Linked DNA regions of Ovis aries. The protein of the gene in region 2 purifies or fractionates together with the protein of the main gene of each other region. This does not show direct contact. Links are inferred from orthologs where the notes say so. Each region holds a gene or a part of one and is shown on either strand. Other genes may lie near its edges.

Region 1 (4,333 bases), on a different chromosome or scaffold from region 2:
GTTAAAAGACCATCTCTCCATTCAGATTCTCCAGAGAGAAAGCAAAGGCAAAGGTCTATGCAACCGCCTATTTGTAGGTACGATGGAAAGTGAACCTGTGGTGAGGACAGAATGTGTTTCCTCTAAAATGATCCTCATCAACATTCCCAACATGGTGCAGGGAGATCCCCCCCCCCCCCCCATATATTTTCGATTCTGTTCCTCTTCACACTAGGAGCAGGGTAAACAATTCACAAAGAGCTTTGCAAGAAACTGCTCCCTCTCGTTTCTAGTAAAGATCTGTTGTTGTTTTGAGAGAAAAAGAATCTACTTTGCCAAACATATTCTCCGAATCAGTTTTTCCCTTCATTGTGGAGATGCTTAAATCCTGACCTAAGAAGGATTCTCTTACAAATCTACCCATCAGGACTGTCAGTTCGGGTGGTTTCCACAAGGGATTTTCCAAAAGGGAATCTCTGTTCAACTGGAAACTGAAACTCACCATTAGCTGGACAAAAATCAAAAGCAATATTAGGGAACACTCTGAATATAAGAATGGATATCCAAGGAAATAAAATGCCAAAATTTAGTTCAAGAATTAAAAGAATTTACTAAGCAAGATCAACAGGGCAAATTTACCATTACTTAATAATTGATAATTAACTATACAGTTCTTTATAAATCAACATAAAATAAGCTGATTTCCAAAAATAGAAGAAATCAAGGCTAAGAGTATCAAGAACTCTGTGAGTCAAAGTCATTTTGCTTAGCAACACTTTAAAAGCCAAAAATGATCAAGTTACATTCCAGTAATTAAAAGTTATTTCTAATTTAAAATGAATTCATTCCCATAATGAATCACTACTTTAATATACGCTTTCTTCTACGACAGAACTGAAGCAGGAGCTCTGTATAGCCTTCCCAGGTGTGTCGGTGGTAAAGAATCCGCCCACCAGTGCAGCAGAGGCAGGTGAGAGAGCCCTGGGTCAGAAGATGCCCTGGGGGGAGGAAACGGCAACCCACTCCAGTATTCTTGTCTGGAGAATTCCACGGATTGGACTCTGGAGTCTGATGGACTAAAGTCCGCTGGGTCACAAAGAGCTGGACACAACTGAGCACGTATAAAGTCTCATTCCACCTTTTTAAGGGCAGATTTTCCCAAATGGGTAAGGTCTTTCCCTCAAACGACTGCTTGTTTTCTGTACTGCAGATTCTTTGAGTGAACTTTTTCCTACCTTAATGATGGTAGCTGTCCTTTTCACTGGCATTTATTTTGTTTCTAGACATTTATCTTCCTAGAGTGGGTAAAATCACAACAATCCACTTAGGAACTAACTGTTCTAAATCCTAAAGCTTCTGCAAAAGTCCACTATTTGTTTCTCTACTATACTTCATGACAATAATTATGAAGCAACAAACCTAACAAAAGCCTCAATGCAACACTTCCTAGGAGTGAAGGTATCTAATTAAACAGGCAGTAACAAACCTCAAACTTTCCTCTATTCCAAGTTTAAGAACCCTATCAATGATTCATTCACACAGCGAGTGACCTAACTTCCTCAATGAATCACACTTTCTGAAATTCTTATTCTACATGAGTATAATAGTCATCATCTCTACATGTGTTGAACACAGCATGAAGTTGGTTAAACTAAGTTAATTCTGTAAGACCTTCAAACCACAGCAACCTCAAGTTCCTGCCAAGTAACTTATCTGCAACACTTTGCCTTTTCCAACAATTGCACCTCTCCAAACAGATGCATCCCCAAAATAAACATTTAATCTTGAAACACTTATTTTAAACACTAATTAAGACCTGATTCATCCACACCCTGCCCTCCATCTCTCTGGTTCCACTACCGCATCCCCATTCTCCTCCCATTGTGATGCCGTGAAAAAGTAATGGACACTGTTATCCTCACACTTATCCTTCAATCAATGAACCTACACTACACTTTTTCTTTTTAGGGCATAAGTGCTGAGTCATTAAATGGAAACTCTAAGAAAAAAGAGCTACAAGCAGTTTAAGTTTAGGATCCCATTATTTCCCTGGCCAGGTCTCCACAGCCTGATATTTGTATATCCCACGGTAGAAAAACCAAAGCAAACACTTGAACTTTTTTTCCCCTCCCCGTCGAAGAAAGAACAAGAGATGGGTTTCCTTAGGTCCTTTGGCTTCCAGCAACATACCCACGGGCACGAGAAGCAGGCCCGGCTGGAGCTATATAACTTAACAATCTGGGTGTGAATAACGCCTGGCCGTAGTCAAGCATTAACCCTGACACTCCTAACAAGCGCTTGTTCTGCTCCTGCTTCATTCAGTTCGGGTCAAGGAGGAAGGGGAAAAAAAAAAAAAATCTCATACAAGCTCTACGCCCTCCACCAGCCTGACACCTTTCCCCGGGTGGCCGGCCGGGGACAGACCGAGGGAGTGGAGAGGGAGGAGGAGCCCTAGCACCCAAAGAGCAGAGACAGCGGCCCGAGTTCATTTCTCCCACAATGGAAGTATCGCCGTCCCCGCTCGCGGATCGAGGCTGCGCGTTCGAGACCCGGCGTGATGCCCGAGGACGCCGCAGGCAGGGGGCGACCTCGACCCCGGGGCCCGCTGGAGGGGGCCTGGCCCCCAGCAGAGGTCGGCGGCAGCGCGGACTTCGCCGAGCTGCAGAGGCCGGGAAGCGCGGGCCCCGCTCCCCGCCAAGGCTGGCGGGAGGAGCGGCCCTTACCTGTGTTCGGGCGCGGGCTGTGGCTGCGGGCGCCGCCGGGAAGGGCCGGAGCGCGGCTCGCCGACCGGGAGCCTGCCGGAGCTAAGGGCGAGGGGCGCGGAAGGTAGACTCGGTCCCAGGTCCCCGGCCAGGCGGGCCGGGCAGGACGCGGCGGCTCCCGGCGCCTACGGCCGGTCAGTCAGTCACGCCGGTGTCCCCTCGGCGCCGCGGCTGAGACAGCGGGAACCGGCCCCCGGGAGGAGCCGCAGCCCGAGCGGCGGGCGGCGGAGGCGGAGGAGGGGCGGGGCCACAGGGTCGGCGACCCGCTCACCCGGAAGTACTTGTGGTCGCGGCGGCGCGCGCTGCGCGACGGGCTTAACCCCCCGCGGCCGGCTGCGTGCCGCCGCAGAAGAGAGTGGGGACCCCGAGTAGGGTGGTGGCTGGGGCGGCCTCCTGAGGTGGTTCCTCCAGGTCCGCGCGGTCCACCCCGCCCCTCCGCCCCCAGGACGGGGGTCGGGAATGTGAACTGATGCGCGTGCCCGTTGGCGGCTACCCCTGCCTCGGTCACCTCTAAACTGTCCGGCCTAGAGGGCTTGGGTGAGTGGGCCGGGGCGGCAGTTCTAACCGTTGGAACGTAGGTGGGTGGGTGCGGCCGAAGCGCTGGAAGCTTTATTTCCAAAATGAATGATTTTGAAATGATTTCCGGTGAAGAATGCTGGGGGCGGGGCTGGGGGGAAAAGAGTCCGTTCAATATCTGATGGATTCGGAGCTGTCATTCAGTCCGAGAGTCTCAGTCGAGATCCACCGGCTTCAGGGCCCTGGAGAAAGACCAGAGGTCCTGCTCTTTGGGAAGCTCATCTTCTAGTGGGGTGGACGGATTTAAGCAAATAAGGTAATGACAGATTGCGGTGAGACTCCGCAGGTGATACACAAAGTGATGAGAGATCCTGTAGGCGAGACCTCTGGCAGGAGAAGACCTCCAGAGGGAAGTGGCAGTTGGGCAGCCTCCTGAGAAGAAGGCACAAAACACTTCGATACAACTTTACATCCGGGACAGTAGTAGGTTCCAGGACCCGCTGAATAAGCCCATGATTCCATGTTAAGAGCCTGGCTCGAATACCTTCTAAGGGCTGTTTGTGTGCTGCCCACCCCTGCGATTTCAGAAGGCTTGCTCACCTTTCAGAGTTCATGAGGGCTGGAGTGTGGCACTGCGAGGGAGGCGTGGATTACGGAACTGTGGTCTTTAGGCAGAGAGACACCAACAGGTGGCTTCATGGCAGGAGGATTCTCATACCATCAGCCTTGGAAAGACAAAGTCTCTAACCTCGCGCTCTTTCTCTTTCCATGTCGCTGTTTTTCTCAGACCTGTGAACAAATATTGAAACTTGTTTTTACCTGGGATCAAGAGGGGCTTAATGTCCCCAAAAGATCACACTATGTTACGATCTGAATAAAAGGATTAATTACGTGTTTTGCTAACTCAGTTAAACTAAAAAGCAGACTTGCAAGAGAGAACCTATTCAGGTACCTGAATAATACCAATAATCCAATAATGTTTATTAAGTATTAGTTTATATGACTGCATAATTAATGGAAAGACTGTTTGGAATGATATTAGGATTGGAAGGGACTTCCGTGGTGGTCCAGTGCTT
Region 2 (4,306 bases):
GACACACAGCAAGCCTGTCTTCTGTGCCCTTAGGGCTGAAACCTGCTCAGGCTTTCATGGTGCAGGACATTAGGGCAGGATGGCCGAGTGGGGCAGAACAGACCAGGGGAAGGCACCATGGCCACAACTGACAGAAGGAGAAACAGGAGCCACCACTGCGGCTCCCTCTCTGCCCAATGTCTGTGTGGTGACACTTTGCCACTTCACGGTGGTCACTGAAGGGCCATCTCGGAAAGTGCAGAGCTCAGCTTTAACCCGACTCCAGAGGTGTGCCCTTCGCATCTCAGGGCTCCAACCTTAAATGGGAACGACCACTGGAATGGCCTGAACATCTGGGATGGGAGGTTCCATGGAGAACAGCAGGGGGAATGACCCATCCAGACCACCTCCCCTGCCCTGCCCTGCCCCAGCTTTATCACTGGGGATAAACCACAGGCAAGTGACCTGCCCCCTTGGTCAGTGTCCTCTCTGTGAACTTGGTGGAGGTTGGGATCACATGAAAGACCCTTGAGAAATAGCTGGAGTGCTGCTCAGCCAGGATCAGCTATCACAGCAGTTCAAAATGGATCAGACTTAGGTTTTTTCACCTTTTCTCCTACGTGTTTCTCAACTCAGGTCATTACTGCATGCTCTCTCCCCACAAACCCCTGACACCAGGGTGGACAGAGGGGTTGGCCTTGCCCCCAGTCCCCACCTTGACTTCTGCAGTCTTGGGCAGCACTCACCCGCAGCGATGGTAGGCTGGACAGCTCCCCATGCAGCGTGGTTAGGTTGTTGTGGCTCACGGACAGGTGTTCCTGGGCCGGCACAGGGTGTAGAGGCTCAGCAGGGTGGGCTGGGCGTCCACAGAGCCTCCACTGGCACCACAGCCTTCCCCTGTCCAAGGACCCTCCCACAGAGCCCCCATCCACCACCAGGGCCTTGCCCCACCCAGGGATCTTCCCACAGAGCCCCTATCTGCTACCACAGCCTTGCCCTACCCAGGCACCCTAGGCCACCCAGGTCCAGTCCACTCTTGCACCTTTCTTCTTTCACACACCTAGTCTTCTTGCATACCTCCCAGGACAGGGTGCTCATCCTCTCTCCACCAGTTCTGCTTGTGACAGGCAATGTCCTGCACAGGCTCTGTCCACCTGGCTAGCCCCATCCACCTGGACCCTCCCCTTCCTGTCCAAAGCTTCTTACCAGCTTCTGCAGGGAGGCCAACTCCTCTGGCAGGTAGCAAAGGCCGGTGCGGTTTAGCTTCAGCCATCGCAGGCTGGTCATGGCCTTGACGTTCTCAGGGAAGTAGCCACCCTGCGGGTACGTCACAGTGAGGCTGGTCTGGGACATGGTACCCTTGCTCTGCCACCTTGTGGCCCCCACTGTCTGTGGGAGCCTTTGGGGGCAATAGTCATTTCTAGTTGTGTGTGTGACCCCAGACACATCACTTGGCCACTCTGTCTCAGTTTTCTCACCCGTAGAATAGGGCTGATGAAAGCCCCCTGATGACAAAAGCGTCCTGAGAACCCACTGGTGATTAGGATGGCTGCTGACCTAAGCCCCGCCTCTCCTGCTGGCTTCTTGGCCCAGGAAGGCTTATTCTAGATGCCACCCCAGAGTCAGCTGTGAGGTCGGATCAACTCAATGTTTTTGCCTTGCATCCAGGCCCTGCCTGTGCAATTTGTTGAACTGCACTTTGTGCCTCTGCCAAGGCCCCACCTGTGCCCTGCCACCCACCCCCTGCATGAGGCCCCAGCTCCCCACCCTTTCCCACACAGGCATAGCTTATTCATTAGTTCACTCACCCATTCGTCCCCCAGACTCAAATGCCCACCTCAGGACCCCAGCCCCGTGGCCAGAAACCTGGGGAGGTTAATGCCTTCAGTGCTCTGGGCTAGTGCCCCTTCTCCCTACGGCCACATTCCCTGCTGGTGACTCACTCTCCTAGACTGAAGAGGACACTTGGGGACTCCAGGTGAGGACGGTGGGGATGGAGGCAGAGGAGTGTGCACGGTGGCAAGTGTGGGTAAATACAGGAAGAAAGGGCCTGTCTCCTCTGCCCTGACCCCAGCCACTGCCTGGACCACTGGACCCTGCAGACCCAGGCTGATGCTCCACTGACGCCAGCCAGGGTCAGCCCACTCATCCACCCTGAGGACCCTCCTGGAACCAGGCCATCTCTCAGGGCCTCCTCTCTGGTCACCAGCCCTCCGGCCTCACTCTCAGTTCTCAAGAACCACTGTCCCGCCCCGAGGCTGGGCTGGTGTTCCCAGCCGCCCTGGTCCGCCAGTTCGGAAGCTGCTCAGACAAATGGCACCCAGGGCCTCGCCCACCTGCCCAACACGTCCTCCACAACTAATCCCCGCCTCCAGGGGTTTCAAGGTAAGCCTCTCCACCAGACGAGAAGACGAGGCTCCGAGAGGGGAAGTGACTTGCCTAAGACCACACAGGATGGGGGTGGCGGGTGCGGGTAGCGCAGAGCCGGCGGCGTAACCATGAGTCAGGGCCCGGCTTGGGCTGTGACCTCACAGGGGCGGGGAGGGCTGGGGAGGCGCGAGCTCGAGCTCCGACCGGGACCCCCGGCCGGCCTGCTGGGGCCAGGCGCCAGGACCCAGCCGGTGAGCAGACCCCGCGCGCCCCTGCGCAGCTCCGGGACCCTACGCGCGCCCGCCCGCCCCGCCCGGCCTGGGCTGTCTTCGCGGGCGCCGGGCGGAGGCCTGGGACGTTGGGCCGGGGCGGGGTCCGGGCAAGCCCGTCCGCGGTCCCGGGCGCGCAGGAAGCGGAGGGGCGGGCTGGGGGTCCCGGCCGTCGCCCAGAGGCTCACCTTGAAGTCGTTGCCGCTGAGGTCCACGCCGCGCACGAACGGCAGCACCCCGGTGCCCTCCATGGCGGCGCTGGGCTGAGGGGAGAGGACCGCGGGCGGGGCCCGGCGCTCGGGGCGGGGACCGCGGAGCCGGCGGGGCGGGGAGCGCGTCGGCCCCGCCTCTCAGCCCGGGGCCGCTCGGGGCCAGCCCTGGGGCGCGGGGCCTCGAGGAGCGCTGTGTCCCGGTGCCCTAAAGGGCCTTCTCGGCCCCCGGCTGTTCCTGAGCTGGTCAACGCCGGGGACCTGGGTGGTTCGGGCGGCAGTGGCAGTAGGACGCCCGGGTCCTCGTCCGGAGCCACGAGCCTCCGGGAGACGCTCCGGGGCCAGTGCCCACACTCTTATGCGTCCTGGGTCGGAGGCCAGCCCGGGTGCGCGGTTACGTGCCCGCTTGCCCCTCGAGGGAGGCCTCCCTGGGCCGGCACATAGCGGTCCCAGTAAGTGACAGGACCAGTATACCCTTCACGGGAGAGGCGGCCGCAGACTACAGTGACCAGGAGCCCCACCGGATGCTTCCTTTGCCAGGAAGGAGCTCACGTTCCCACCTGCCGAGTCCTGGAGCGTGGCCCTGCGCCTTTAAGGCGGAGCTTGCCGAGGAGCCACGCCCCGAGGGGCGCTCGGCCGCCATTGGCCGAGGCCGCCTCAGGGCGGCACGTGGGCACTGGCCTTGAGCGCTCTGATTGGAGTCGGGGCCTGTCCGTCTGCGAGCCTGGGGCCCGTGCCCGCCCCAGGCCTTGGCGTTCGACTCCCGGGTCCTGCACGTTCCATTCCCAGGCGGCCCCGGGGCGCGGCCCGAGCGGCCCCCTGAGTCCCCTGGCTGGGGCGCCGAAGCCGCGACGCAGGTACGGCCGGGGCACGGGGCGTGGCCTCTATCGGCCGCGCGGTTCCGGCCGGGAGAGAACCGGCTCGAGCCGAGTTCTGGTCGCTTCTTGGGCCCATCCTGGCGTTCCCCGGGCCTCGGTGTCCTCGCGGCCGGGGCTTGGAGGAGGCTAGGGGAGGCGTGGCCTTTCCCTCTCCCCTTCCCTGGTTAGGGTCTGCGGGCCCCAGGTCAGACAGGCAGGGGCTTTGAGCGCTTTACAGTTTGGAGGCGGTTGGCAGTCCTGATGAAGGAAGCCGCCGCCGGGCCATGCTGGGTCAACCCCCTCCGCTGTCTTTCCTATTTTTAGCTTGGGAAAGGGGGATGGGTGCGGGGCTGCAGGCCCCACTTGGCAACCGGGCTCCGGCACCCGGTTCTGGGAGCAGGGCAGCCAGAAGTCATTGGGGCTGAGTTGGCTCTGAGCTCAGCGTCATCTGTTCAGGCATCCTCAGGGTGACAGTTCTGCCTGGCCATCTGACTGGTCCCTTGGGCTTGTCCCTTGGTCACACACCCCCCTCAGTGCTCAGGGCCTGAGAGCTGGGGCTCAGCCTGCAGGGCCTGGCAAAGATGCCTGAGGTCCCAGCCATCTGTACTTCTGGGTTCTGCAT

The links.
Region 1: the proteins of FLII (region 2) and LRRFIP2 purify together in Homo sapiens (affinity purification with mass spectrometry; 3 studies listed by BioGRID and IntAct, with this or other methods). This does not show direct contact. The link is inferred for Ovis aries from reciprocal best matches to the Homo sapiens genes FLII and LRRFIP2.

Annotation. Positions count from the first base shown.
Region 1 is NC_056072.1:10,384,421-10,388,753, reverse strand, and holds the start of LRRFIP2 (leucine-rich repeat flightless-interacting protein 2), read right to left. Parts: upstream 2,937-4,333; 5' UTR 2,703-2,936; intron 1-2,702. UniProt on the Homo sapiens protein: May function as activator of the canonical Wnt signaling pathway, in association with DVL3, upstream of CTNNB1/beta-catenin.
Region 2 is NC_056064.1:34,133,885-34,138,190, reverse strand, and holds the start of FLII (protein flightless-1 homolog), read right to left. Parts: upstream 2,898-4,306; 5' UTR 2,870-2,897; coding exon 2,807-2,869; intron 2,601-2,806; exon of another isoform or gene 2,496-2,600; intron 1,297-2,495; coding exon 1,186-1,296; intron 836-1,185; coding exon of another isoform or gene 798-835; coding exon 726-797; intron 1-725. UniProt on the Homo sapiens protein: Is a regulator of actin polymerization, required for proper myofibril organization and regulation of the length of sarcomeric thin filaments. It also plays a role in the assembly of cardiomyocyte cell adhesion complexes.